Oryctolagus cuniculus: one gene and its partners. The protein of the gene in region 1 interacts with the protein of each later gene in a pairwise test. Links are inferred from orthologs where the notes say so. Each region holds a gene or a part of one and is shown on either strand. Other genes may lie near its edges.

Region 1 (3,500 bases):
GTTCAACTGCTACCTGGGACACCCTCATCTCCTAGAGTGTCTGAGTTCAAGTCCAGGTTCTGATTCTAATTCTAGCTTCCAGCTAATGCACACCCTGGGGAAGCACTGGGTGTGACGGGGGCGTGACCTGGGTCACCACCTCTGTGTGTTGGGGGTGTGACCTGGGTCACCACCGCTTTATGTGATGGGGGCATGACGTGGGTGACCACCACTGTGTGTTGGGGGCATGACCTGGGTCACCACCACTGTGTGTTGGGGGCGTGACCTGGGTCACCACCGCTGTATGTGATGGGGGCATGACGTGGGTGACCACCACTGTGTGTGATGGGGCCGTGACCAAGGTCACCACCACTGTGTGTGAGGGGGCCGTGACCAAGGTCACCACCACTGTGTGTGATGGGGCCGTGACCAAGGTCACCACCACTGTGACGGGGGCGTGACCTGGGTCACCTCTACTATGTGTGACGGGGGCGTGACCTGGGTCACCCCACTGTGTGTGATGGGAGTGTGACCAAGGTCACCACCACTGTGTGTGATGGGAGTGTGACCAAGGTCACCACCACTGTGTATGACGAGGATGTGACCTGGGTCACCACTGCTGTGATGGGGATGTGACCAAGGTCATCACCCCTTGCCGTGAGGAACAACTGACGGAGTGTAACTGGATGATCATACTAAACCTAGAGTAACGAGAGCAGCGTGGCACTGTCATGGGCCACAGTAGGAGCGCTGCCCTCTCCACGCACGAGGCCCTGAAGCCCCCAGGAAGCTCAGGGATAGGCAGTGAGGGGCGGCCTCTGGGCTGTGGGACTGCTTTCTGTGGTTCCTGAACCCGATGTCCGGAGCCCCGTACCTTGACCTGCGAAATCTCCTTCTGGGGAGCACTGAGTTTCTTGCTGACCCTGCCCTTGGCCTTCAGCTCTTCCACCGTCTTATAGGAGTATTTGGGCTTCTTCTTGCTTCCGCTGGGGTCTTTCCTCCACTGGCTCAGCTCCTTCTGAAACTCCTAAACCCCAGGGAAACCACTGGTCACACAGGAAACAGCACTTCCCACAGCCTGTGGGACGAAGACCACTGACACCACAGGGCAGCCTCTCACGTTCACCCCAACTCCACACCAAGGCTGTGACGCTGCAGCCACCCAGCCTCTTACAGACAATGAGGCTCGGAAGGCGGGGCAGCAGCCCCGTGCTGCTGGGAGATCCAGAGATAAGGCCACCCCGCTGGGCATCACTGTGGGCAGGCTCTGCTGGTGTGAAACTGAGCGCGTGCGAAACTCAGAAATGCAACAGGAAGGACTTCAGGAGTACCCCAAGCCTCGGTTCTGATTAAAATGATAAACAAGTCTCAAGGTGAGGATCCACTTGACACTCGGGTGTATAAAACCCCTCTGCAGGGAGATCTGAAGAGAAGTGAGGAAGCAAGCCGGCCTGAGGATGGCACGGCGCAGCCCTCAGAAGTTGACGGTGTGGCTGTCCCTCCACTTTTCTCACACTGGTTTACACACATAATTTATTTTCTCAGACACTATCTGGACGTCTGCTGGCTTTGGGGGAATCAGATCAGGCAATCCCAAGCTCGTGTTGTCATGGCAACAAGTGCCTAGCGCCGAACACGAACAGCGGCTTTCCACAAGTTACGTCCTCAGCTGTGTGCCCGAGTCCCCACCACCCCCTACAGCCTGGCACCTGGCTCGTGGCGTGCACGCCCGTCAGCTCTGAAGCCTGAGAGCCCGACTCAGACCTGTCACTTCCACACTGTCCAGCGTGTCCTTGCTCACGAGGAGGCTGGTGACGACACGAGCGAGGCGCTCCCCTGCGGCGCCTGCCTTCCCGCTCTCTGTGGAGAGCCGCCCCACCCCTTCTGTCAGCAGCACAGCTGCCAGCAGGTGGCTCCTCCTGCACTCTGGGTGAAACCCAAACGCCTCCAACCCCCGCCCCACCCCTCCCTGAGCCACATCTCAGTGGGACTCCTTCCTTCCTGAGATCAGAGATCACTTCCGTCCCAGCCTGTGCCTTACACTTGGGCCACGCCCCTTCCCTGCCCCTCCTGTCACCTCCTCGTCTCCAGCACAGCCTGCATCCCTAAGCACGTGGAGCTGCTGGCTTACTGTGTGTCTCCATCCAACGGGCTCGAAGCCCAGCCCGGACAGCACGAGGCCTGACAGAACGCAGGAGCAGTCGGCCGCCCGCCACGGCACAGGACACCGAGGCCTGCCTTCCACTCACCTCCTCGGCTTCTTCTTCCGAGTCCACCACGGGGAAGTCCTGCAGGGACTGCGTGGTCCGCTCCGAGCCGTAGGCCCCCACGGCTCCCTTGCCCTTCCTCTGTTTGGCTTCGATGGGGTTTATGATGCCTGTCGATTGTCAGAAGACAGAGAGCTCAGACGGCAGCAATTCATGTGAATAAACCACTCGGGGATGTCAAGCAGCCTTGCCCTCAACAGGCAGCACGGTCCCCAGCAAGGAGAGCCCTGCCCTGCCCAGGCCCAGGCCATTGGAAACGTCCAGCACTTATGTGATCACACAACAGCCTGCTGACCTCACGTAACTCATGTCCCAACCAGAGGCTTGCACCGTGGATGGGAGAAAGCACAAATCACTTATCACAGAGAGCGCCGGCACACTCGATTCCCCGCTTCACTCCTCTGGAAGCTTCCATCAGGCAAAGTGCAGGGATTCAGACAACATGTACCCACGGACTCTGAAGTACAGGTGCACTTCATGGAGATGTGGCGTTTATTTATGTGAAAGACAGAGAATGACACATCTTCCATCCACTGGCTTCCTCCCCAGTTGGCTGCGACGGCTAAGACAGGGCCAGGCCAAGGCCAGGAGCCTGAAACTCCACCTGGGTCTCGCACGTGGATGGCAGCAGGGGCCCAGGGACTTGGGTCACCTTTTGCAGCTTTCCCAGGCACATTGGCAGAGAGCTGGGCTGGAAGTGGAGCAGCCAGGACACGTGGGATGCCAGTGTTGCAAGCAGAGGCTTACCCCTGCCCCACAACGGCAGCCCAAGATGCGGCACAAGACGCCGCCCCTGCTGCACTTCTTAGCTGATGTCCCCACACTGAGCTTTTCAGAAACACACTGAAGCCCCAGAAATACTCGTGCAGGTTGTTTCTCTCATAAAAGGATTTAGACAGGATTACAACTTTTCAAAAACTGCTCCCCTCCCTGCTTCCCACCTAGCGCTGGGGAAGTCTCACTCTTCCTCCCGGTCACCAGCCCTGCCTCACTCATGCTCGTGTTCTCAACACAACACAGATTTACGCCAACTACTAAAAAGAGACTGGAATTGGAACCACAGGCTTCACTCTTAATTACACCCTCGGTCACTGCCCGGGGAAAAGTTCTTGCAGGAAGAATCCAACTGCTTACTAGGGTGGTTGTGCAACCCAGGAAATGCGAACGTGCGACAGGGGCTGCGTCACAGTGGGGTGGGCTGTGCACCTGTGCTACAGACTATGTCGCAGTGGGGTGGGCTGCGCACCTGTGCTA
Region 2 (3,929 bases), on another chromosome or scaffold:
CTCTCTGTCTGTTGCTCCACCTTTCCTTTTTCTTTATTTTTTTTAAGATTTATTTGAAAGAGTTACACAGAGAAAGGAGAGGTGAGAGAGACAGAGAGAGAGGTCTTCTATCTGATGGTTCACTCCCCAAATGTCCACAATGGCTGGAGCTAGGCAGAACTGAAAAGTGCAAGGCCAGACAAAGAGCTGCTTGTTGACCTACAGGACGACACACTGGACAGAAAGCATGCGCACCCCATCAGCGTTTCACGAGTTAGCATCTAACTGCACAGCATCTGGACTCAGACCAAAACCAGCCATCTTCTTGTCTCACTGTCAAGAGTCGCTCAAGTTTTCCTGCGACTCTTTATGTCTTCTTCCCATCACTTTTCTCTGAGTCTTTTAAATCTGTCGGTCCTTTTCCCCCTTGTTACCTGTACACCTGCTGGTCCCTTGAGTCTCAGTGTCTGCACTTCCTGTCTCTGAGCATCCACTCTCCTTCTCCATCCTTTCCTGACCTCTCTCCCTCTTGCTAGCTGTTCTAGCACAGCTGTCTTCTCTCTCCCGCTCGATTCTAACTCCCTCTAGTGAGAGTTGAAATCCCTCTTTCAGACACGTCTCTGACCACCTATCCTCACATCAAGTCTCTGCCCCTGGCAGGCTCCGGAAGTCTCCCCTCTGCTCTCTCTTCTCCCTCTCTCGGCATCTCTCTGCCCTATTCCCTTCTTGTGCACACCCTCATCCCACCTCCCCCATTGCCTTTCTTTTCTTTTGTTTCCTAAGATCTATTTATTTGAAAGACAGAGGGAGACAGAGGGAGATCTTCCATCAGCAGGTTCACTCCCCCGGATGGCATGGTCACAACAGGCTGAAGCCGGAGGACCAGAACTCCATCCAGGTCTCCGGCATCACGTGGGTGCAGGTGCCCACGGACTTGGGGCATCTTCTACTGCTCTCCCAGGCCACAGCAGAGAGCAGGATCGGAAGTGGAGCAGCCGGGACTGGAACCGGCGCCCATCGGCAGGACTTTACCCACTAGCTACAGCGCCAGCCCCCACCACTGCCTTTCAAACGCCTGCCCGGCTGCCTGGCCAGGTCCAGAGCGGTCACCAGGTTACCATGGAGACCCCCCGGTCCCGCCCCGCGCAGGCGCAAGTGGGGGGCCGTACCGACGGCCTCTCCCGGAAAGCGGAGCCAAAGCGCCCGTCCCGACAGGGGTTGCCATGGAGACGCAAGCTCTCGGCGTCCCGGGGAGGGCTGTGATTGGCGCAGACTCCTGCGGTGGAGACCTGAACGAGGCGCGGTAGGGGACATGCGCGGTCTGGAAGGCGGTCCTGCGGTCCACCGCCCCTCGGGAAGTCTGCGCTCGCCGACAAGGGCCGGACGCCTGGATTCGAGGCAGGCAGCGTGGGAAGAAGCGGCCGGGAGTGCGAGCTCATAGCGACCACCGCCACCCTCAGGGGCCGGGGTGGGAGGCGGGCAGAAACGGAGGCGGCGGGCGCGGGGGGAGGGCGGGGAGACGCCGGGCTGGGGCGCGAAGCATCCTGGGAGACGTAGTCTGGCCGGGGTGGAGGCTCGGCCAGCGCGCATGCTCACGAGCGCGGAGCGGCCCGCGGGGCGCAGGAGGGCTCGGCGGTTGTGGTTGGGTCCCTACCGCCCGGCGTTGCCGGGAGCGCGGGACCGGGTCCCGTCAGTCAGCACTCGCTGCCAGGGCGGCGGGCTGTGCTGCCAGGGCGCCGCCGGCACCCGACGTGGCGTGCTGGACTCTGGGAGATGTAGTTCTGGACCTTCGCAGGGACTCGCCGGCTCGGCGGCGACCCACATTTCCCCCAGGGTTTCAGCTGGGCTGGGAGCTCGAGGAGCAGAATTCTGACTCAAGCGCTCAGGTAGCCCTCGGGGTTGATGCCACCAAAGGTACGTGGGCGGTGGCTGTGGCACCACCCTCAGTAAGCAGATTCGTGCACAATCCCCAGCTGCGGGAGCGTTGTGAGCAGGGCGGTAAGCCCCGTTTGCAGATGAGCGGACAAGATCGCAGACGTGTGGAATCAGAATCTTGGACCGTCATTGCTGGTCCTGGTCCGGCGGTCTTGGGCCATTTGTAGGCCTCTGGAAGCTGCTTCCTCACCCCCCAGCCCCACCTGAATCAGACAGTCGTAGAGATGGAGCATCGTGTGGTGTGATAAGTTGGGTTCAGGGGACGGGACCAAGTAAGGGAAGCTGGGCCACACGAGTTATTTTGCACGGTTGAGATGCGGGATGAGGCTGGGAGGGAGCAGTAGGTGGTACAGGTGCTGGGAGGGAGTGGGCAGCAGGTGGTGCAGGTGTGGGAGGGAGTGGGCAGCAGGTGGTGCAGGTGTGGGAGGGAGTGGGCAGTAGGTGGTACAGGTGCTGGGAGGGAGTGGGCAGCAGGTGGTGCAGGTGCTGGGAGGGAGTGGGCAGTAGGTGGTACAGGTGCTGGGAGGGAGTGGGCAGTAGGTGGTGCAGGTGTGGGAGGGAGTGGGCAGTAGGTGGTGCAGGTGTGGGAGGGAGTGGGCAGCAGGTGGTGCAGGTGTGGGAGGGAGTGGGCAGTAGGTGGTGCAGGTGTGGGAGGGAGTGGGCAGTAGGTGGTGCAGGTGTGGGAGGGAGTGGGCAGTAGGTGGTACAGGTGTGGGAGGGAGTGGGCAGCAAGTGGTGCAGGTGTGGGAGGGAGTGGGCAGCAGGTGGTGCAGGTGTGGGAGGGAGTGGGCAGTAGGTGGTGTAGGTGCTGGGAGGGAGTGGGCAGTAGGTGGTGCAGGTGTGGGAGGGAGTGGGCAGTAGGTGGTACAGGTGTGGGAGGGAGTGGGCAGCAGGTGGTGCAGGTGTGGGAGGGAGTGGGCAGCAGGTGGTGCAGGTGTGGGAGGGAGTGGGCAGTAGGTGGTGCAGGTGTGGGAGGGAGTGGGCAGTAGGTGGTACAGGTGTGGGAGGGAGTGGGCAGCAGGTGGTGCAGGTGCGGGAGGGAGTGGGCAGTAGGTGGTGCAGGTGCGGGAGGGAGTGGGCAGCAGGTGGTGCAGGTGTGGGAGGGAGTGGGCAGCAGGTGGTGCAGGTGTGGGAGGGAGTGGGCAGCAGGTGGTGCAGGTGTGGGAGGGAGTGGGCAGCAGGTGGTGCAGGTGTGGGAGGGAGTGGGCAGCAGGTGGTGCAGGTGTGGGAGGGAGTGGGCAGCAGGTGGTACAGGTGTGGGAGGGAGTGGGCAGCAGGTGGTACAGGTGTGGGAGGGAGTGGGCAGCAGGTGGTGCAGGTGTGGGAGGGAGTGGGCAGTAGGTGGTGCAGGTGTGGGAGGGAGTGGGCAGCAGGTGGTGCAGGTGTGGGAGGGAGTGGGCAGCAGGTGGTGCAGGTGTGGGAGGGAGTGGGCAGCAGGTGGTACAGGTATGGGAGGGAGTGGGCAGTAGGTGGTGCAGGTGTGGGAGGGAGTGGGCAGCAGGTGGTGCAGGTGTGGGAGGGAGTGGGCAGCAGTTGTACAGGTGCGGGAGGGAGTGGGCAGCAGGTGGTGCAGGTGCTGGGAGGGAGTGGGCAGTAGGTGGTGCAGGTGTGGGAGGGAGTGGGCAGTAGGTGGTGCAGGTGTGGGAGGGAGTGGGCAGCAGGTGGTGCAGGTGCTGGTCCCCAGGCAGCAGGTGGTGCAGGTGCTGGTCCCCAGGCAGCAGGTGGTGCAGGTGCTGGTCCCCAGGCAGCAGGTGGTGCAGGTGTGGGAGGGAGTGGGTAGCAGGTGGTGCAGGTGTGGGAGGGAGTGGGCAGCAGGTGGTGCAGGTGCTGGTCCCCAGGCAGCAGGTGGTGCAGGTGCTGGTCCCCAGGCAGCAGGTGGTGCAGGTGCTGGTCCCCAGGCAGCAGGTGGTGCAGGTGTGGGAGGGAGTGGGCAGCAGGTGGTGCAGGTGTGGGAGGGAGTGGGCAGTAGGTGGTGCAGGTGCGGGAGGGAGTGGGTAGCAGGTGGTGCAGGTGCG
Region 3 (3,500 bases), on another chromosome or scaffold:
CAGCAGAGAGCTGGACTGGAAGAGGAGCAACCTGGACAGAATCCGGCGCCCCAACCGGGACTAGAACCTGGGATGCCGGCGCCACAGGTAGAGTATTAGCCAAGTGAGCCACGGCGCCGGCCTGAATTTTTAACATAAACTCTTTCAGAGGAACATGCACGATGAGGGGTGGGGGTGGGACAAAGAAACAACCATTACACCTAACCCATTCCTTAGTCTGGACTGAGACGGAAGATATAAAGCAGAGGGCTGGTGCTGTGGCATAGCAGGTGAGGGCTGGTGCTGTGGCGTGCGTAGTGGATGACCGTGCCAGCATCCAAGTGGGCACTGTTTCGATTCCCAGCTACCCTACTTCCAATCCAGCTGCCTGCTAATGCAGCTGGGAATACACAGGTGGTTGGGCCCCGGCACCCACATGGGAGACCTGGAGGAAGCTCCTGGCTCCTGGCTTCAGTTTGGCCCAGCTCTGGTGTTGTTGCAGCTGTTTGGGGAGTGAACCAGCAGATGGAAGATGTGTGTGTGTGTGTGTGTCCCTATCTCTAACTCTGCCTTTCAAAGAAATAAAATAAATCTAAAAAAAAAAAAAAAAAAAAAAAAAAAAAAAAAAAAAAGATATACCAGAAAACAGCTGATCACACAGTACATTGCCTCCTTGTTCCTATACCCATGAATCTTCTTAGTCTTTGGGGGTCCTGGTCGCAGGGGGAGAAAAGACAGAATTCTAATGGAGCAAAAGGCAAAGAACCTCACAGGCCTACCCAGGAAGTGATGGTGCTGTGGTCAATCGGCTTGCTGGGCACCTGCACGGTGTGGGTGGTGGGAGGCTGAGGAGATCCAGAGTGGTGCTTGGGTCCCTCCAGTGGTTCCTGGTGGAAGAGCAGCTGGGCTTTCTGGCACCGCTGCTGGCGTTTTTTTCTGGGAGGCATCAATAGGTGGATGAAGAGCAGTTAGCAAGCACATGATGCTGGTTGCCTTCGGGTTGGGGGACAGGCTCCAGTTCCAACCCATGCCTGCAGAGAGCAAACCAACGCTGAGAGAAAATTCAGACGACGCCCGGCTCTCTCTGATACGCTGCCAGCCAAGTGTACCATGAACTCCCTTCCCTACCTCAAGGCTTTGCCTACCCTGTACCACCAAGCAAAACCAGTTTTCCTATTCAACAGCACCTGTTCCATAAGCATGTGCTGACCATGTGTGAAGTGCCATGCTGGAAATCTAAAGACAAATAATAACCATTTGTCCAATAATCACTCACTGAGCACCAGGCACTTGTGATGCAGAGGTCCCTGTCTTCAGGAAGCTAAAAAGTTTAGCAGAGACAGACAAATACAATACAATATGACAATACAATATGCTTCCAAACACCTTAAGGGAGGCTTTCCTGATGGGAAGGCACTTCCTTGACATAGGTACGCAAAACGTAAGAGAAGCAAAAAAAAAAAAAAAAAAAAAAAAAAGCAAAAAGCGGGGAGGCACTCCAGCCTGAGGGACAGCATGCATAAAGGCAGTACTGCGAACTCAGGCAGCACAGAGCCACCAGCCACGCTGAGGAGGGAAAGATGAGGGGGAAGAACCGGGGCTGGACACGGTGTGAGGGTTAGGTTAGATAAACCAGGCGAGGCCGCAGGAGTCTGCGTTTTAGCCTGAGTAGTTACTGAAGAATTTCAGAAAAATTTCAGAAAAATAGCATTGTATTTGGTTACTTTTTAAATTTTCACCCCAGATAATTTAGAACATATACAAAAGTAGATGAATAATATAGTACCCCCCAATGTACCCTTCACCCAGCTCCAATAACCATCAGCCCATGACCAATCCTGACCCATGCACACCCCACCCATTCCCCTTACCCCTGGATTATTTAGAATGTTTTTTAAAAATATATATTTGTTGGGGGCTGGCACTGTGGTGCAGTAGGTAAAGCCGCCGCCTGCAGTGCTGGCATCCCATAAGGGCGCCGGTTCAAATTCAGCTGCTCCACTTCCGATCCAGCTCTCTGCAATGGCCTGGGAAAGCAGTGAAGATGGTCCAAGCCCGTGGGCCTCTATACCCACGTGGGAGACCTGGAAAGAGTTACAGAGAGGCCGAGGCAGAGCGAGAGGTCTTCCATTTGCTGGTTTACTTCCTAGATGGCCACAGGTAATGCTGCCTTTCAGATAAATAAATAAATAAATCTTATATGTATTTGTTGAAAGAACTACGTAGAGAGGCCAACACCATGGCACAGTAGGCTAAGCCTCCGCCTGCAGCACTGGCATCCCATGTGGGCACTGGTTCGAATCTCAGATGCCCATCTTCCAATCCACATCTCTGCGATGGCCTGAGAAAGCAGTAGAATATGGCCCAAATCTTTGGGCCCCTATACCCACATGGGAGACCTGAAAGAAACTCCAAGCTCCTGGCCTCAGAACGGCCCAGCTCTGGCTGTTGTGGCCATTTAGAGAATAAACTAGCACATTGAAGCCTTTTTCTCTGTCTCTCCCTCTCTGTCTATAACTCTACTTCTCAAATACATAAAATCTTAAGAAAAAAAAAAAGAGGTACATAAGCTACATAGAGAGGGAGACACACACACACACACACACACACACAGAGGTCTTCCATTTGCTGGTTTATTCCCCAGATGGCCACAGCCAGGGCTGGACCAGGCCAAAGTAGGAAACAGGAGCCTCCTCTGAGTCTCCCACATGTATGCAGGGGCCCAAATACTTGGGCCATCTTCTGCTTCTTTCCCAGGGGCGTTAGCAGGGAGCTGGATCAGAAGTGGTGCAGGCCAGCGCCGTGGCTCAATAGGCTAATCCTCCACCTGCGGCGCCGTCACACCGGGTTCTAGTCCCAGTCGGGGCACTGGATTCTGTCCCAGTTTCCCTTCTTCCAGGTCAGCTCTCTGCTGTGGCCCGGGAGTGCAGTGGAGGATGGCCCAAGTGCTTGGGCCCTGCACCCCATGGGAGACCAGGATAAGCACCTGGCTCCTGGCTTCGGATCAGTGCGGTGCGGTGGCCGCAGCGTGCTGGCCGCGGCAGCCATTGGAGGGTGAACCAAAGGCAAAGGAAGACCTTTCTCTCTGTCTCTCTCTCTCTCACTGTCCACTCTGTCAAAAAAAAAAAAAAAAAAAAAAGAAGTGGAGCAGCCGGGACTCGAACCAGCGCTCACATTGGATACTGGTGCTACAGGCACTACAGGCAACAGTTTAACTCACTGCGCCACAGCACCGGCCCCATCTTCTGCTGCTTTCCCTAGGTTATTAGCAAGGAGCTGAATCGGCAGTGGAGCAGCTAGGACATAAACGGGCGCCCATATGGGATGCTGGCATTGCAGGCAATGACTTTACTCACTACACCACAATGCTGGCCCCAAAGGATATATTCTCAGCCATTATATCATTCTCATTAACACAACTATATGAAGTTTAATGAAGTATATATGGGGGCTGGGGGCGGCGCTGTGGCACAGGTTAGGCCACTGCCTGCAATGCAAGCATCCCATATGGGCACTGGTTT
Region 4 (4,139 bases), on another chromosome or scaffold:
TCATCACACTTGACTCTTGTATGATACGTGATTTGTCATAAAAGATAGCAAGCCTTTCACTACTTCACTGAGTAAACACTGTGATTCTGCAGAGCGGATTCAGTGGGCTTTCTAGTATTTTCTTCTGTTATACGGTGCCCACCACCTTAGGGCACTAAAATACTAGCGGATGGAAAGTTAAACACTATTGTTTTGATGTTTATGAATAATAAGATTACAGAGTATTCGATTTTTGTTGTCAGTATATTAAAGCAATTTTTGCATTGATAAATGTTCTCTAGGAATGTGACTGCATACATCAGGTGTGAACTCTTGTAAATGAATTTTGTATCTTGATCCACATATATATTAAGTGTATCATCAATATAAAAATAAACATTATTTGCTTAAACTTTTTGGTACTTCAGAACTGCTGACGGTTTAAGAGGTAAGCTGTTAGGGTTTGCCTCCTTCAGCTGGCACCCCAGATGCTGCCAACTGTTTGGGGTTTGCAGATTCGAGGCTTCTTACTCTAGCTGGTATATCTCTTTAGAGCCCTGGGCTTCACACACCCCCACCCCCACCCCACCCCCGCCTTTCTCCTGGTGGTCAGACTGGAAGAATCAGGTGCACTGGCTGGCGGTGGGGCTGGGGCAGGATTCGACACCTGACCTAGGATACTGATGGGCACTGTGGCCACGCACAAGGCACTTGCACCCTTTAGACTTTCCTCACGTGTTAAAAGGAGGCGGCCCATCAGTAGTGGATACTGAGATTAATACAGCGGGCTGCCCCCAGCGGATTTTTCAAACGCCAACCAGATCCGAGTACTTTCAGAACAAGGGCAGAGTTCTGGAAGCTTCTCCCAGGTGCCGTTTACACGTGTGCTGGGTTGCGATGGAAAAGGTAGCACCTACAGTTAAGGCACAGACAACAAAAGTTGAAACGCCACTCACATCGCCAAGATCCCAGAACTAGTCTCTGCAGCCCCAGGGTTCCCGGGATCACCCAGACACAGTGACCAGGCAGCTGCGCGGCGCGCGGCGGGGCTGGCGCCAGGCGGCCATGGCCCGGGGTTTCCATCCAGCCCGCGGCACACAGCGGGTCTTCCCTTTGCCACGAGGCTCCTCCCACTTCCTCGACTCTACACCAACCCCGTTCACAAAGACAGGTGAAACGACGCATTTGTCACCCACGGGGCTGGCCGGCCGCTGACGTGGCGAGTCCGCCTGAGGGAGCGCCAGGCCCGGCGCCCGCGCCCTCCAGGCGTTCCGGCCCAACCGCCGCCCCAGAGCTCGCGCGCGCGCCGCGGAGGGCACGCGGGCGCATGCGCGCGGCGGCCCAGCCCCGCGCGCAGCCACTTCCGGCGCGCCGGGGGACGTGCGGTTCCGGGTCGCTGCTCCGGCTCCGCGGCTGGCGGTGGGGGCTGGTGACGCTGGTCGGCGCTCGCGAGAGGCCCCGGAGGCGGTGCTCTGCCGGGTGCCCACAGAGCGGCAGGTGCGCGACCCGAAGCTCCGGGGATTGGAGCCGCCCCTCGCCCCCATTCTCCCGGTGTCCTCGGTCTGTCCCCAAGCGCCCCGGACGGGGTTGCCCGAGACCCTAGGCGGGGGGCGGTACCTGGGGACTGGGAGGGCGAGGATGGGGGCGGAGGCGGGCTGCCCCGGCCTGGGGGGCTGGCGCCTCGGGTCCTGAGATTCCTCCCTGCGCGACCTTGGACACGTCCCTCCTCGCCAGTGGGCTTCAGTTTCCCTGCTTCCAGATGAGAGAGACGTCGGCTGCTAGCCCTGGCAGTGGGAGCACCGGCGGGGCTGGCGGGGGCTGAGGGAGTGGGCTCCCAACTGCCTGGCAGCGCCCTGCCCGCCATCCTGGGCGTCAGCATCTTCTTTCTTTTAAAAAAAAAATTTTTTTTTTAAACCTAACTTTGCCGTCCTTCCTCTCAGCGACTGTCTTAGGCGTCCGTGACCAGACAGCCCAGGGTCTGGCCAGGTAAACAGTGTGTGAGGGCCAGAATCAGCTGAGAGCTAAGCCGGCTCTGGAAAACCGGAACTCGCGTTGCAGTTTGGCTCAGGGCTGCCTAGAAGTGAATTTAGACACTGACTGCGTTGAGCGACTCCAGCTCTAGGGAGATTCCAGACTGTAGGAGACCAGCGTGAGCGAGGGGAGCCCGCCTGGAGTCGGGCAGTGACAGGTTTTCCCTCCCCGACTTAATTCTTCCCTTGCACTCATCTCCCACCACCGCCCCCCAAGATTCTGGCTTTGTACTTGAAACATACCCAACGTGTTTCATCTTGGTCTTCGTGAGAGCTTTGACCTGCCGGCCGTCTTAACCGGGTGAGTAAGGACATTGCAGGGAGAGCTTCCGATGAACTGTAGGGGTTTCACAGGTGATCCCAGGCGGTAAGAGTCATTTGTAGGTCTTAGAGCAGAGCTTGAACAGCGTCCACAGGCCGTGGAAAGTTAAGGCTGGACCCAGAACAGCCATGCTTCAGACCGTGTTGGAAGGAAAAGGTGCTTGGATATCATGTGAAACACTGAGAAGGAAAACTGTGATTTGAGGTCATTTTTTCAGACTCAAACCACACATTTCCAGGAACAGTTTAAGAATGATCATAGTAGAATCTTCTGGCTTGCTTGGTTTTTTTTTTTTTAAGTGATGAGCTTTCTGCAGACCACAGGGAACATAAAATGTTACATCTTTTCCTCTTACTGAGTTACATATGTTTTCTGCCTTCATCTTAAAAAAAACACACACACACACACACACGCTAGTTAAGCTTATTATTACAGGAAGGATTCAGAAGCGTTCAGTCATGCTTATATGATGTTAGTGTTTGACCTGGGAACTTTTACTAAATGTGTCATATGCCATAGCCACTATGGTCTAATTAAGAAGAACAAAAGTAGGGCCTGTGAGTCAGAGTTCGGTGCCCAGATCCCAGCCCTGCCGCTTAGCCACACAGTCTTTGATAGGTTGCTTCACCTTGAGGCTGGATTTCCTCATCTGTGTGTCCATATAGAAAGCAGCCAGGGCCTTTTAAAGGTTTAGTAATTATGTTCTGTTACCTTTACGTGTAAGTTATGAAACTTCATTTTGAAACCTAAAGCTTAAGGCAGGGGATCTTTCCAGTGTTATCTTACAGATATCGCTTCCATCTAGTTTATAGATACTATGTTGCCATAAGCCCTTGGCCCACATTTATGTGGGAAGGCAGCTAGCTGGGATGTCTGAAACTTTTTAGGCACCTGTGTCTGGACCCTGGCCACTGACCTAAGGACTACTGCAGTGAGGCAGGAACCGGCCGCGGTGCAGGGAAGCCACACAGCAGCAATGTTCGCAAAGCTGAAGAAGAAGATTGCAGAAGAGAGTGCTGGCGCTCAGAGGCCTGGAGGTGCCGCTAGGATTCCACGGTCCGTGAGCAAGGAGTCGGTCGCCTCCATGGGCGCTGACTCAGGAGACGACTTTGTGAGTATCTTCTTTAGTTTTTAATAATATTTGGTGCAGACTCAATTTTTTAAGAAAAATAATATTCCAGGGATTCCTTTTTTTTTTTTTTTAAGATTTTATTTATTTGAAAGAGTTAAAGAGCAAAGTAGAGCCAGAGAGAGAGAGAGAGAGAGAGAGGGAGGTCTTTCATCCACTGGTTCACTCCCCAAATGACCACAATGGCCAGAGCTGAGCTGATCCGAAGCCAGGAGCTTCTTCTGGGTCTCCCATGCGCGTACAGGGGTCCAAGGACTTGGGCCGTCCTCTGCTGCTTTCCCAGGCCCTAGCTGGATTGGGAGTGGAGCAGCCGGGACTCGAACCAACACCCATATAGGATGCTGGCGCTGCAGGCTGCGGCTTTAGCCCGCTGTGCCACAGCACCTGCCCCGGGATTCCTTTTTATACGTACTTTAAAATTGCATGATTATTTCATATCTTTTGTAGTTTGTAGTTGCACAAGACCCCTGCACATCTTCTTCCTACTCTGAGATGCCTTTTTGCTAATGTTTGGTTGTTATTGTTAAAATGCTCTATTGTTTTTCCTTATCTTTTATGAGTTCCTTTCCGTATTATCTACATTGCCTATATAGTATTTTTCCACCTATATACCTCATGTATCTTCCTTTACATTTATCCGTCAAAATGTTGGGGCCTGTTTTATCTGCAGACACAGATA
Region 5 (3,933 bases), on another chromosome or scaffold:
ATCAGCAAAAGTTTCCAAATGACTCATACTAACTTCATACCCACCTAGCTTCTTCATATCCCCCATCTTCCTTAACAGGTACAAGAATCCATCAATAGCACCACATAACCGATGAGGAAACTGAAGTCTAATCTATGGTTAGGTGACTGGTAAGAGTGCCCAAGGAGCAAAGCTGAATTCGTCCTAAATGTGTGTGGTGTTGCACACTCTGTGTTCAGCACCTGCTCGCTCATTGATCTGACCACTGTCTGTGGCAGGGGCTGTTTTTATCTATGTTTTATGGTAAAGAAACTGAGCCTTAGAGTTGGGACTTGAATTCTAGTCTGTTGGGGTCCAGGCCCTGGGTCTGAACCACTAGGCTGACTGTGGCTTAGAGAGAGGTGGGGCCATTGCTGCTCTGACATCACTCCCTGCTGCATTCTTGGGTGTGGCCAGAGCCTGTCCCCAACTCTGACAGCCTGGCTGGGGAGAGGTGCAGTCAGCCAGGGCCTGGGGTCCATCCTTAGGGGACAGCTCTTGCTGTGTCAGGTGAAAGGAAGCCTGGGGATTCTCTAGCTGACCCTGTGCAGCTGGCCACGGGGTGACCCCAGGACCTTCAATCCAACCTCCCCTTTTCTAAGTCAGGCAAGCAGGCACAGAGCTGGGGCCTGGCCGGCAGATGCTGCACAAGGTTGAGTATGTCAAGGACCTCCCAGCCCTCCCCATGGAGTTGGGAGACAGCTTCCTCCCTGACCAGTCTTGGGTCCTCACCCACATGGCTTCCTGTCACCTGGCCTTTGTTTCCATGCCTGACAAGTGTGCCCACAGCCCTGTCCTGCTCACCCTCTGTGCATGGCCAGGTTTGGGGACCCTACAGCATTCTGGGAAGTGTCCAAGTGAGATAGCGAGTGTGCCACATGCACTCTTGATGTCTGGGGTTCTTGGATCCCAGTGTTTCCTGTATGTACTTTTTTTTTTTTTTTTTGACAGGCAGAGTGGACAGTGAGAGAGAGAGAGACAGAGAGAAAGGTCTTCCTTTTGCTGTTGGTTCACCCCTCAATGGCCGCTTCGGCCAGCGCGCTGCGGCCGGTGCACCGCGCTGATCCGAAGCCAGGAGCCAGGTGCTTCTCCTGGTCTCCCATGGGGTGCAGGGCCCAAGCACTTGGGCCATCCTCCACTGCACTCCCGGGCCACAGCAGAGAGCTGGACTGGAAGAGGAGCAACCGGGACAGAATCCGGTGCCCCGACTGGGACTAGAACCCGGTGTGCCGGCGCCGCAGGCGGAGGATTAGCCTATTGAGCTGCGGTGCTGGCCTCCTGTATGTACTCTTATGTACCTGCCTCAGCCAGCCCATCTGTGAAATGGGTGATCTGAGTGGCACTGGCCTCTGTGATCCGCCCTTTCAGCTCTGCTTCGTGATCAGGCAGCTGATGTCATGTCAGAAGCAGGGCACTGTGTGCCCAGAGCCTGTGGAAGGCCCCAGATATGATCCTTTGCCTGGACACTCTATGAAGACCTGGGAAAATTGATCATGAAGCCAGGGCCGAGAATAAAAACCAAATACAGCAGCCACATCCAGCTCCCCTGTGCTTTCTCTCGTGAGACGGGCTGGACGTCACCTGTGAATGGGTACCTGTGAGGGGTTGCGGGCAGCTTCCTAGCCCTCTCTTGACCTAAGTTTCCTTCTCTGAGAAATGGGAACGCACTCCTGTTGCTCTTGCCACTCATTGGGAACGGCTTGCAGGAGGCCTGTGGGCCCTTCCCTCCCTACTCTGTATGGCCGAGATGTCTGGGCTCTGCAAGCAGACACTGCAGGTGTCTGTGCTGTTGGCCTGGGGCCTGCACTTGGCCCTGGCTACAGAGCAGCTTCCCAGCTCTCCCACCCAGGTCTGTGTGAATGGAGTCCTTTTTCTCCTTGTCTCCCAGGTGCCCTGGCCATACCTCCTCTTCAAGAGACATTTCTGCCATGCCCAGTCCTTCCTCTGATGGACTCCCAGGGCTACCCCCACAGAGTCCAGGTGCCTTTTCCAAGGGGACAGCCAAGGGCTTGTCACCAGAGATGAGGCTCCAGTGAGGTGGAGTAATGTTCCCAGCCTGCTTTCTGTGTGAGAAGATTCCAGGACCTTGGCTATGCCGTAGCCTCTGGCTAGGGAAGGGTGGGTACTGCCGGATCCCTAGCTGCTCACCTGCACAGCCTTGCCAAGGGCACGGGTTCTCAAATGCGAGTGTGCATCAGAGTCACCTGGGGAGGTGGGCTGGGCCGGGGTGGGAGTGCCGGGGCTTGTTCAAAAGCAGATTTCCCATCTAACAGGTTGTAGAGGGCCCTGGCACCTGCATTTTGCACAAGTCCACAAGGGTACCACTATTTGAGAAACACAGGTGTGGCGACCCCAGGCCCAAGAGGAGTTGTACAGGTGTCTGGCCTTGGGGTGATAGAGGATTGGAAAGCTGGCCCGGGTTCTGCCTTGAGGTGCTAAGGAGAACCCCTCCCCCAGAGGCTGACTTCTCCATCCCACCCAGCCTCAAACAAGTCACAGGAAGAGGAGAGTCAGGCCACAGTGGGCAGAGACCAATCAAGTTTGGGATCCAACACTGACCTGAGGCCTGTGGGCCCTGTGTGTGTCCAGGGGTCCAGGGCGGTGTCACATGGCACTCTGAGCTCTCGGTTCCGAGTAGTCAGTTGGGTGGCTGCAGGCTTGGTTAAGTTCCCCGTTTGAAAACAGGAAATAGGCTGTGTGGCCTGCTCCTGGTCGCCCCCACTCATTGGCTGGTGACAGACAGTGCCCGGAACCCCACTGACTGACAGCCAGCTGCACGCAAGGCAGGGCAGGGCGGTGGGCAGGGCCAGCCCTGGGTTGGGGTGGCAGGGAGGGGGTGGTGTCTAGCTCAGCTTCCTTTTCCCTGTTGCCTTGCCCTTGAGTCCTGGGTGTTCCCTGGGCTCTGGGTCTGTAGCTCCCGGCACCTATTGTCCTGGTCCGTTTTCTGTTGCTGTAACAATCCCGCAGACTGGTCGTTGGTAGTGAAGGAAGTTGGCTTGGCTCCCAGTTCTGGAGGCTACAACACCGAGAGTGACGACCGGCAGAGGCCTCGGTGCTGTGTCGCCGGAGAGCAGCAGGTAAAAGCTCAAGCCAGTGCACACAAGAGGGGGCCAACTTGTCACCAGCCTAGCCCACTCTTCTCGAGGATGACCCCGCTCCCTAACAGCGACATGAACCCATTCACGCAGGCTCCGCCCTCACCACAGCTGCCTGTCGTTAGCCCCACCCTCCAACACCATCTCCCTGAGGACCAAGCTCCCAACACAGGAATTTGGGGCACACATCTAAACCATAGCGCCCCTCAACATTCATTATCCTATTCTCTGAGCTAGGTATAAGGAGGGCCCTCATGCCCCACTAACAGATGGGAAAACTGAGGTCTAGAGCCTGGAGCTGGTTGGATGCAGAGCCAGTGCCAGACACGGAAGAGCAATGGGAGGCCTCACAGCTCTATCCAGTGCCTTTTCTTGGACAGAGCTGCGTCCAGTATCACTGACAGAAGTGCCAGGGATGCTGTGGTGTGGCTCACAGCCACTGGGGCTTATGGCCTTGAGGGCAAGGAGGCTGGGACAGGACAACAAAAACAGAACCTCGCAGTCCCTCTCCCCGAGAAATGCGCATGGATCTCTTCCCAGCTGATTCTTTCTCCCCGTTAGAAGTAGTCCTGATTCTCATGGGAGTTGCTTCTTTGCTTTTCTTCATAAATTTACCACCTAAAGTACATCCCCAAACAACATAATTTCATTATACTCATTTTTTAAAAAAGATTTATTTATTTATTTGAAAGTCGGAGTTACACAGAGAGAAGAGAGGCAGAGAGAGAGAGTCTTCCATCATCCACTGATTCACTCCCCAACTGGCTGCAATGGCTGGAGCTGCACCGATCCAAAGCCAGGAGCCTGGAGCTTCCTCCAG
Region 6 (4,268 bases), on another chromosome or scaffold:
GACGGCACAAGTGCTTGGGCCCCTGCAACCATGTGGCAGACCTGGAAGAAGCTCCTGGCTCCTGGCTTTGGATCAGCACAGCTCCGGCCATTGGGGCCAATTGGGGAGTGAACCATCAGATGGAAGACCTCTCTCTCTCTCTGTGTAACTCTTTTGAATAAATAAATAAATCTTTAAAAAAAAAATGTTCATGGGCCTGGCACCGTGGCGTAGCAGGTAAAGCCACCACCTGCAGTGCTGGCATCCCATATGGGCGCTGGTTCAAGTCCCGGCTGCTCCACTTCCGATCCAACTCTCTGCTATGGCCTGGGAAAGCAGTAGAAGATGGCCCAAGTCCTTGGGCACCTGCACCCATGTGGGAAACCGGGAAGAAGCTCCTGGCTCCGAGCTTCGGATTGGCACAGCTCCGGCCGTTGCAGCCAACTGGGGAGTGAACCAGCGGATGGAAGACCTCTCTCTCTCTCTCTGCCTCTCCTCCTCTCTGTGTAACTCTGACCTTCAAGTAAATAAGAAATCAAATCTTTATAAAAACCAATGTTCTTTTTCATCTTTTTTTTTTTTTTTTTTTTTACATAACCCATGTTCCCTAAAGAAAGCTGGTGAGGACACCAGAGGCCCTTACAACATTCTCCACACAAAGTCAAATCCACACGGCCCTTGTTACCTTGACCGAGGCTGGCCCCTTCCAGTTCAAGTACTGCTCCAGTTCTGTGCCCTTGGCCCGGGCCCTGGAGGAGTCAAACACCTTCCTCCTGGAGCCCTGCACCCTGCTGCAGACGTTGGAGTGTCGCTCCAGCCTCAGCAGGAGAAACGTGCGTCCACAGTGGCTGCACTGGCCCAGTTCCGGCTCTTCAGAACAGCTGGAACCCGAAGAGCCCGGTGCCCTGCACAGGCCGGAATCCGTACCGAGCCCCTGGAAAGCACCGTCCGGCGCTTCCGAAGACTGAGAGACCTTCTCCGTGGATGGCCCCGAGACCCCATCTTTGATTTTGTTACTGTTTGCCGCCAGCCTCTCCCTTTCCAGCTCCTGGACTCCATGATCAGAGAACTGGCATAGACCAGCATTTTCTCGAGACCGCCTCCAAGTTCCATCCTCTCTTCTGTCACTCCTGGGCGCCTCCTTGGACCTAAATCCTGGGGGGAAGACGGGCTTGCACGCGGGGTGGCTGGCACCACCGTCCGCTCTCCCCCGGGAGAGAGCCATTCTCCGGAGCGCTCTGTGTGCGTTCCCCTCGGCCTCCTCCTTGCCCCTCTGGATCCTCCTGAGCTCCTCCTCCGTCCTCTTCAGCTTGTTCCGCAGGACGATCTCCTTTCTCCGGATTTCCTCCTCTAAGCTCTCCCCCAGGGCTTCCAGTCTCTGGATCTGCACCCACTCAGACCTGGTGAGGTTTGCCACGGCCCTCTCGCCCTGCATGGCGGCAAGGACGGCACCAACCACAGAGGGGTTCACCGTGCTCCTTGGCGTGAAGTTGCTGTGTGGAAGCTCTCTCGGCTCAGAGGCGCTCACGTAGACACTCTGGTTCCCAGCGGGGCCAGCCTGCCCTGTACTGCGAGACTTCCGGTGGACCATGGGTTTCAGCGGGTACGCCCGATCCACCCCAACTCCCTTCTTTGTGAAGGGACCTAAGTATGGGTTATTTGCTTTGGGATGCCAGGACGGAGGGCCCGATGCAGCGAACCAACCTTGTCCTTGGCCCTGGGGCCCGCTGCCTGACTCAGCATCAGCACAGCTAGGGGAGCTGCCCCCGGCTTTGGAGCGCGTGTTCTGGTTGGGCGGGGTGTAGACGTTCTCCCGCGTCAGCTCTCTGCTGCTCAAAAGCCTCTCCCGGACATTGTTCCTCCGATGCCCCACAGAGGACGGCTGCGCGGTGTCACCTTGTTCATAAGGGTCTCGCCGGGCGGAGTGGAGCCCCGCAGCCTCTGTTTTATTATGTGGGAACATAACGCCCACAGGCAGATATGGAGCCAACTGGAGGTCAGCCATTCAGGGCCTGGATGGAAGCCTACGGGGAGAGTCAAACCAGATCCATGTGCTGAGTTTGTCTGAGGCTCACCCCCGGCTGCTAAAGTAAACTGTTGCTACATCTGCCCTACTCACATTTCCCTCCAGCTTCGCTAGGGACATGGCGCTGGGTGTGCCAGAGCTCTCCAATGCGCATTCGCAGTGAGTGGTGACCACCCGCTCTGTTAGGTCCCGAGGGTGGAAAGACACAGTGACCCGGTACCAGCCCCCGCCATCTGCACTCTACTCGCCCGCCAGCAGGCGAAGCCAGCGCTGGATGGAGGGAGAGGTGTTAGGCTTGGGGAACACAGTCTCTCCACCTGTGAACTGAAGGGTTCACTCCAGGCCCACCATCTTACAGGTGACAAAACCAAGCCAACCCCGTTCAAAGAGTCACCGTGGCGCAGACGCCGGAGGCCGCTAACCTGCGAAGAAAGGGGCTACCTGAGCCCCTTTCAGATCTGGAACCCGGAAGTTCCGTCCGGTGCCAGTCAACCCGGGCGCCCCCACTAAGGCGGGGGTTTCTGGGGACAAGCCCTCGCTCTCCTGCTCCTCGGGCCCTCGGGAGGTCGAGGTGTTCACCCCACGTCTCCCCGCCCTTCTGCGTACCTCCGGCTCTGGGGGCACCGCGGCGGCTCAGGGGAAACCCCAGGACCTGGCTTTCCAGACCCGGCCGCCCCCAACCGACGTCAGCGCAGGCGCTCTCCGCGGGCCTCGGCGATTCCCGTTGCCTGGAGACGAAAGCGCCTCGCGCGCCGAGCCCCGCCTCTCGCAGATCGCCGCCGCAGAGGCACGCGCAGGCGCAGTCCGCGCGTCTTCCTGGGCGGGCGGATGGCGGGGGGAGGGTGTTGAGAGTGGGAGGCGGGGTGCGGTCAGCCCGAGTTGTTGTCACTTGACCCAGTGTCCAGCCAACTCTGCAGCTCAGTTCAGCCCTGCCCTTGGGGAACGGGGGAGGAGGTGGGAGAGGCTTTTCTGGGGCGCCATCAAAGGAGAACTTGTATTTTTCTGAGAAGCATGCTCCCAGGCCCCGGGGTGTGCCCGTCCCTGGCAAAGGGTGGAGCCCCGCCATGTGCCCCGGAGTCATCCCACCGCAAGATCCCGGCGTCCGCCCGGTTAGCGGGAGTGGGCCTGCTGATAGCCCTTGTTAGCACGCTCGGCAGCTCTGTACGGGCCCCAGGTATGGCTGCTATCTTTCCGTGCTTTGCCTTGCCAAACTGGAGCTTGCCTTTTTTTTTTTTTTTTTTTTTTTTTTGCTACGCAGTATCTTTCCGGGGTAGATTTCGTGGCCAACCTAATTATTTTGATATTGTGATGTTTTGCTGTCACGTGGTGACCCGGACCATCTCTGCTTAGGACCTGGGAATGACTCAGCCAAATGTGATGATAATAAAGTTAGCATAACAGATTGAAAATAATCAGTATAACCTAGTTTCAACACTGAATGATGGTCTGTGACTTGTTGACATCAGAAGACAGTTTATTTGTCTTCTTCGTGCTTCAGTTCATTTGTGTAAGCTGTTTGGAACAGGCAGCTCGTTTTTTTCCCTGTAACTACTCAAAGGATTCATGCACATGGAAAATAATGTAGACAGCAGTAGTCAGCGTTAACGCTTCCACAGATCCTATTACAGCTTGTACACGGCACAAAGAAACTCTTTGGTGGGCCCCTCCAGGGCAGTCTTTTATTCCTTGTTTTCATTCCTAGTGGACTAGACTGCCTTAGTATACAAGGGGACTTCCAAAAGTTTATGGGAAATAGATTTAAAAGAGAAGTTTATTCCACTGCAAAAAATAACTGAGATCTGTGCATACCAGAGGCCTTCAAAAAGTTCTAGGAAAGGTGTATTATGAAAAAACTATGCATGTATATTTTGGACCAAAACAAACAATCTTTTTTAATTCCGTTTTTCCACAAACTTGTTAAAGTTCCGCAGCTCCAGACATTTCGCAGTTAGGTCAGCCTCTGACCTCGCCTTAATCAACTCCCACAGTTTCTCTCCAGCCTGGCTGACTTTCCCAGGGCGCCTCCCTCTCTCCTGACTTCCTTCCTTTTGTTCCGCAGGAAGAAGGGTCTCTCTCTTTCTTGAATTGGTGCCTTTCAGTACCCTCCAGGAGCTGACTCGGTCATTGTTCCCACTTCTGTCTTCATAACTTCAACTTGTGCATCTCCCTACTCTGAAAAACGCCTGACCTTCCCCTGCAAAACAAACCTCATTTCTCCTGATCTGCTGCCTCTGGTATCCGCCCCTCATTCATTTCTCTTCTT
Region 7 (3,984 bases), on another chromosome or scaffold:
AGGACAAATCATTCTGTTCTGTTTTGCAGTGAGACTAATTGGTGCCAGTGGATAAGTGAAGGGAGAAATAATTGCACAGACTTGAGACCTGTAGCTTGGGGGGATGAATAACTGTATCACAACAGCATGAGTTCTTGCTTTCACTTTGTACATTTATATAATTTTTAAAGATTTTTATTTATTTGAAAGAGTTAGAGAGAGAAGGAGAAGCAGAGAGAGAGAGAGGGCGAGAGCGAGTTCTTCCATCTGCTGGTTCACTCCCCAATTGCCAATTGGCTGCAATGGTCAGAGCTGCACCGGTCGGAAGCCAGGAGCCAGGAGCTCCTTCCAGGTCTCCCAAGTGGTGCAGGGGCCCAAGGACTTGGGCCATCTTCCACTGCTTTTCCAGGCCACAGCAGACAGCTGGATCTGCAGTGGAGTGTCCGGGACTCGAACCAGTGCCCATATGGGATGCCGGCATTGCAGACAGCGGCTTTACCCATACGCCACAGTACCAGCCCCTATTTATATAATTTTTGAAAAATTTAGAGGTATAACATACTATAAATTATATGTGCAAGTTTTCTACTTATGGTTTAAATCGTGTGGGATCTTACAGATCACGGCATCTTTATTTTTTAAATCTCTGTTTTGGGGGGCAGAGTTAAGTAAAGGGATGAAAGTTCACGTAACGCAGTCCTTTAAATCAGTTTGGGGATGGTTAATTAATGCATTTGCACGTATGAAAGAACAGTGAGCGCTTCTTAGTTACCTGGCACTGCTGTGGCTGCCTCTCCTGAGCTCCCATTTAATCCTCCAGTCTCTAGGAGGCAGGAATTGTCCCGATTTTCAGATCAGGAAACCGAGGCACACGGACACCACAGTAGAAAGCACACAGAATACAGCGCCGGGATGTGGAGTTCGACAATGTGACTTGGGCGGTTACGTCCGCTAATCACTGCATTAGATTGTCTTTGGGCTCTTTATTTATACTTGGCTTGCTTAGGATTCAAATTTCCTTTTGGCTATTTCCGGGCCATTTTTATCACGTCGTTGAGACGGTGTCACCGTTTACAACGGCCCTTCCGTAAGAGGACTGAGCGCACCGCCCGGACACTTCCCGGATTCCACGTGAGTCAGAAGTCGCTCAGCGCCGCGCCGGCTCGGCTGCCCCACCCGGAGCGGCGGGCGCCGTTGCCTAGCAACAGCCGCGCCACACCGGAAGCCGAGGGGGTTTTCGGCCTGCGCTCGGCCGCGGCCACTTCTGTCTGAAGCGTCGGAGTTCTGGATAGGGCATTGCGCTTCCTGTACTGCGCCACAAGTGGCGCTGGCCTTCCTCTCCCTTCATATTTGAATTTAAAAAAACTTGGAAAACCGAGTTTGTGGCAGCAGAGGGCTAGGGATCCGCTCGGCCGACTGTGTCGGCACCCCTGGGTCGATTTCTCTCAAGCCTGTTCCCCAAGGGCTGGAACCCAACGCTGCTCTTCCGTGGTCTTGAGAGTTGTGACTTGAGTTCCTAGCCAGCCGGGCGGCGTTCGGCCCCGCCACGTCTGAAAACAGTCTTTGCTGAGGTGAGCGCAGACCAGACGGGCTGGAGCCTGGAGAACGGAAGCTGGGGACACAAGCGAGCGCACTTCACAGACGCACAGAAACAAGGAAGCGGGAAGGGCCGCCGCGGACGCCAGCGCGCCCCCTCAGGATCCATGAGTTACTCCCGAAGCTCTCAGCCCGACTCCGGAGCCAGACCGGACGCCGGGCGGGGCGAGGCAGCGCGTTCCCGTCAACCTTGCCAATCACGCGACTCGGCCCCGCCCCGCCACATGACCTTCCCTGGCGGAAGCTCGCGGTCGCGCGCTCTAGGGGTCTCCGGACACGCGGATTCGCGCGCATCAATCTAGCCAATCAGGAGTCTCTTCCGCTCCCGTGCGGCCCCGCCCCTTGGAGCTGCATCGGCTGACGGCCGCGGCTCCGCGCGGTGTTTGAATGCTGTGGGGTTGGCGGAGGGCGGTAGCGTGCTTCGGCCCAGGGGGGTGTCTGAGTGCTGGGCTTCGGGGGCTTGCTGAAAAGCCAGGTAGAGGTTCCTTTCCGCAGTCGGGGGCCCTCGACCCTCCCTCAGGCCTGGGGTGTCTGGAGGGCCGGCGGGCTCCCTGCATGGGGGAAAGGGGAGTGGCCGCCTCTCTGGTTCTACCCCACCGAGTTGGAAGGGACAGCTTCAGTCGACTTCCCTCTTCAGTGTCTGTTCGCTTTTACTCTGAAAGTGCAGACAGGCGTGATTTTTTTTTTTCTTTATATTTTCTTGTTTCTTAACGCCTGGTTCTAGTCAAGCGGCTTTTAGGGTTCGGGATGATTGACAAGTTCAGGTCCGATTATGCCTTTTGAGCCCACTTAGGCCATGTCTCTTAATTATGAAGCTGTCACAACGAAAGAATCACTATCTAAAGTTGTTATTCTCCCTTGCCCCCGTAATGGAGACTTGGAAGATACTTCATGGCTAACAAGTCTCGTTTCTATGAGATACTAGTAGGTTAATTTGTCATGAAAAAACTAGTTGTCCTTGTGTGGGAAGGTAAGTGAAAAACTCCAAAAATAGCGAGAATTAACTAACAAATTAGAAGAAAAAACAAAAAACAAAAAACTGCTGGCCCAATAAAGAAATACTTGGATAAAAATGGAGGACTTTAGAAAGGTATGGTTATTTTGAGTCCCATTTCATAATTACTTTTTCTGGTTCTAGAGGTAACCCAAGATTTCATTTTCAAGATGGAAAGCCCATCAGACTCAGCGGTGATTGCACCTAGCACCCCACAGGCCTGTGCGAATCCGCCATCTTCCCTTGCAAGGAGCTCAGGAAAACAAGTACGGAGATCTTATTCAGTCTTAAGTATCGGCGGGGTTTAACTCCAAAGATTGTTCATTAACGTGCAGATATTTTGTTAAATAGTCATTTAGTTTCTTCTAAGATACAGTGTGTGACCAGCCCCTTCCAGATTTGCATACTGAGCCAATTCATTTAGTTTCGGATTAGATTATTGCAACACTCCAAAGTGAGGAAGTCTGGATCTGCGGTATTATCACGGTGAAGGACTTTGGTGGCAGTGGGTCTTTCCTCAGTCTGCTATCCTATAGCATCTGGTGTAGCAGGAGGTATGGGCTAGATGCTGAGAGAAGTTTGATTATTGGGATGACTTTAGAAGGGTGTTGACCTGGCTGAGGTAGAGAGGAAAATTAATGGAACTTCTGGAAATTAAAGACATTTTGTGATGGTTACTTTAGATATGTGGAGACAGAAAGCCCCCTAGTGGTGTCTACTATAGAAATGTAAGGCTTTTATTTCTAGCACATTTCTTTACATGAAGACTTGGTTAACATTTTTAATATTTTGTTCTCCTTTCAGCCTATGAGTGCAACACTTAGAGAAAGATTAAGGAAAACAAGATTTTCATTTAATTCCTGTTACAGTGTGGTAAAACGTCTTAAAGTTGACAATGAAGAAAATGATCAGAACTTGTCAGAGAAGCCACCCTCTGCCACAGAAGAAAACTGTTTGGAATTTCAAGAAAGTTTTAAACGCATAGACAGTGAACTTGAAGAAAGTACGCATTTGAAAAATACATTCCAGAACGTCAGTGCATGTGAAGCTACCTCACTTGATACAGGGTCATGCAGTGTTCTCCAAAATGACTTCATGAAGGAGAATCTTCCTATACAAGGACTGAAGGAAGAAAGAGCAAAATTGGTGAAGCAGGTTCAGGAAAAAGAGGACCTTCTTCGGAGGCTAAAATTAGTCAAAATGTATAGATCGAAGGTAAGAGGAATTTTTAACAATTTTTTTTAAGATTTATTTTATTTATTTGAAAGAGTTACAGAGAGGTAGAGACAGAGAGAGAAAGGTCTGCCATTGCTGGTTCACTCCCCAGATGTCCGCAACGGCCAGAGCTGCGCCAATCCGAAACCAGGAGCCAGGAGCTTCCTTGGGGTCTCCCACGTGGGTGCAGGGGTCCAAGG

What was found.
Region 2: the proteins of TFIP11 (region 1) and myeloid zinc finger 1 interact in binary tests that used the Homo sapiens proteins (3 or more experiments, as listed by UniProt). The two-hybrid records come from large-scale screens. The link is inferred for Oryctolagus cuniculus from reciprocal best matches to the Homo sapiens genes TFIP11 and ZSCAN12.
Region 3: the proteins of TFIP11 (region 1) and RHNO1 interact in binary tests that used the Homo sapiens proteins (3 or more experiments, as listed by UniProt). The two-hybrid records come from large-scale screens. The link is inferred for Oryctolagus cuniculus from reciprocal best matches to the Homo sapiens genes TFIP11 and RHNO1.
Region 4: the proteins of TFIP11 (region 1) and GOLGA1 interact in binary tests that used the Homo sapiens proteins (3 or more experiments, as listed by UniProt). The two-hybrid records come from large-scale screens. The link is inferred for Oryctolagus cuniculus from reciprocal best matches to the Homo sapiens genes TFIP11 and GOLGA1.
Region 5: the proteins of TFIP11 (region 1) and SNX20 interact in binary tests that used the Homo sapiens proteins (3 or more experiments, as listed by UniProt). The two-hybrid records come from large-scale screens. The link is inferred for Oryctolagus cuniculus from reciprocal best matches to the Homo sapiens genes TFIP11 and SNX20.
Region 6: the proteins of TFIP11 (region 1) and ZC2HC1C interact in binary tests that used the Homo sapiens proteins (3 or more experiments, as listed by UniProt). The link is inferred for Oryctolagus cuniculus from reciprocal best matches to the Homo sapiens genes TFIP11 and ZC2HC1C.
Region 7: the proteins of TFIP11 (region 1) and SFR1 interact in binary tests that used the Homo sapiens proteins (3 or more experiments, as listed by UniProt). The two-hybrid records come from large-scale screens. The link is inferred for Oryctolagus cuniculus from reciprocal best matches to the Homo sapiens genes TFIP11 and SFR1.

Annotation. Positions count from the first base shown.
Region 1 is NC_091452.1:20,273,462-20,276,961, forward strand, and holds part of TFIP11 (tuftelin-interacting protein 11), read right to left. Parts: intron 2,357-3,500; coding exon 2,229-2,356; intron 1,007-2,228; coding exon 854-1,006; intron 1-853. UniProt on the Homo sapiens protein: Involved in pre-mRNA splicing, specifically in spliceosome disassembly during late-stage splicing events. Intron turnover seems to proceed through reactions in two lariat-intron associated complexes termed Intron Large (IL) and Intron Small (IS).
Region 2 is NC_091449.1:72,640-76,568, forward strand, and holds the start of myeloid zinc finger 1, read left to right. Parts: upstream 1-1,129; 5' UTR 1,130-1,291; coding exon 1,292-1,377; intron 1,378-1,726; exon of another isoform or gene 1,727-1,893; intron 1,894-3,929. UniProt on the Homo sapiens protein: May be involved in transcriptional regulation.
Region 3 is NC_091440.1:106,439,325-106,442,824, forward strand, and holds part of RHNO1 (RAD9, HUS1, RAD1-interacting nuclear orphan protein 1), read right to left. Parts: intron 1,011-3,500; 5' UTR 927-1,010; coding exon 759-926; intron 1-758. UniProt on the Homo sapiens protein: Involved in microhomology-mediated end-joining (MMEJ) DNA repair by promoting recruitment of polymerase theta (POLQ) to DNA damage sites during mitosis.
Region 4 is NC_091432.1:228,794,056-228,798,194, reverse strand, and holds the start of GOLGA1 (golgin subfamily A member 1), read left to right. Parts: upstream 1-1,339; 5' UTR 1,340-1,476; exon of another isoform or gene 1,477-1,539; intron 1,540-1,550; exon of another isoform or gene 1,551-2,310; intron 2,311-3,218; 5' UTR 3,219-3,307; coding exon 3,308-3,442; intron 3,443-4,139. UniProt on the Homo sapiens protein: Involved in vesicular trafficking at the Golgi apparatus level. Involved in endosome-to-Golgi trafficking. Mechanistically, captures transport vesicles arriving from endosomes via the protein TBC1D23.
Region 5 is NC_091449.1:34,227,822-34,231,754, forward strand, and holds the start of SNX20 (sorting nexin-20), read right to left. Parts: upstream 2,801-3,933; 5' UTR 2,578-2,800; intron 1-2,577.
Region 6 is NC_091451.1:21,123,553-21,127,820, reverse strand, and holds the start of ZC2HC1C (zinc finger C2HC domain-containing protein 1C), read right to left. Parts: upstream 2,801-4,268; 5' UTR 2,612-2,800; intron 2,237-2,611; exon of another isoform or gene 2,099-2,236; intron 2,004-2,098; 5' UTR 1,985-2,003; coding exon 665-1,984; intron 1-664. Other genes in the region: ACYP1 (acylphosphatase-1), read left to right, coding at 3,017-3,179.
Region 7 is NC_091446.1:25,895,582-25,899,565, reverse strand, and holds the start of SFR1 (swi5-dependent recombination DNA repair protein 1 homolog), read left to right. Parts: upstream 1-1,184; 5' UTR 1,185-1,962; coding exon 1,963-2,050; intron 2,051-2,056; exon of another isoform or gene 2,057-2,514; coding exon of another isoform or gene 2,515-2,545; intron 2,546-2,713; coding exon 2,714-2,835; intron 2,836-3,373; coding exon 3,374-3,784; intron 3,785-3,984. UniProt on the Homo sapiens protein: Component of the SWI5-SFR1 complex, a complex required for double-strand break repair via homologous recombination. Acts as a transcriptional modulator for ESR1.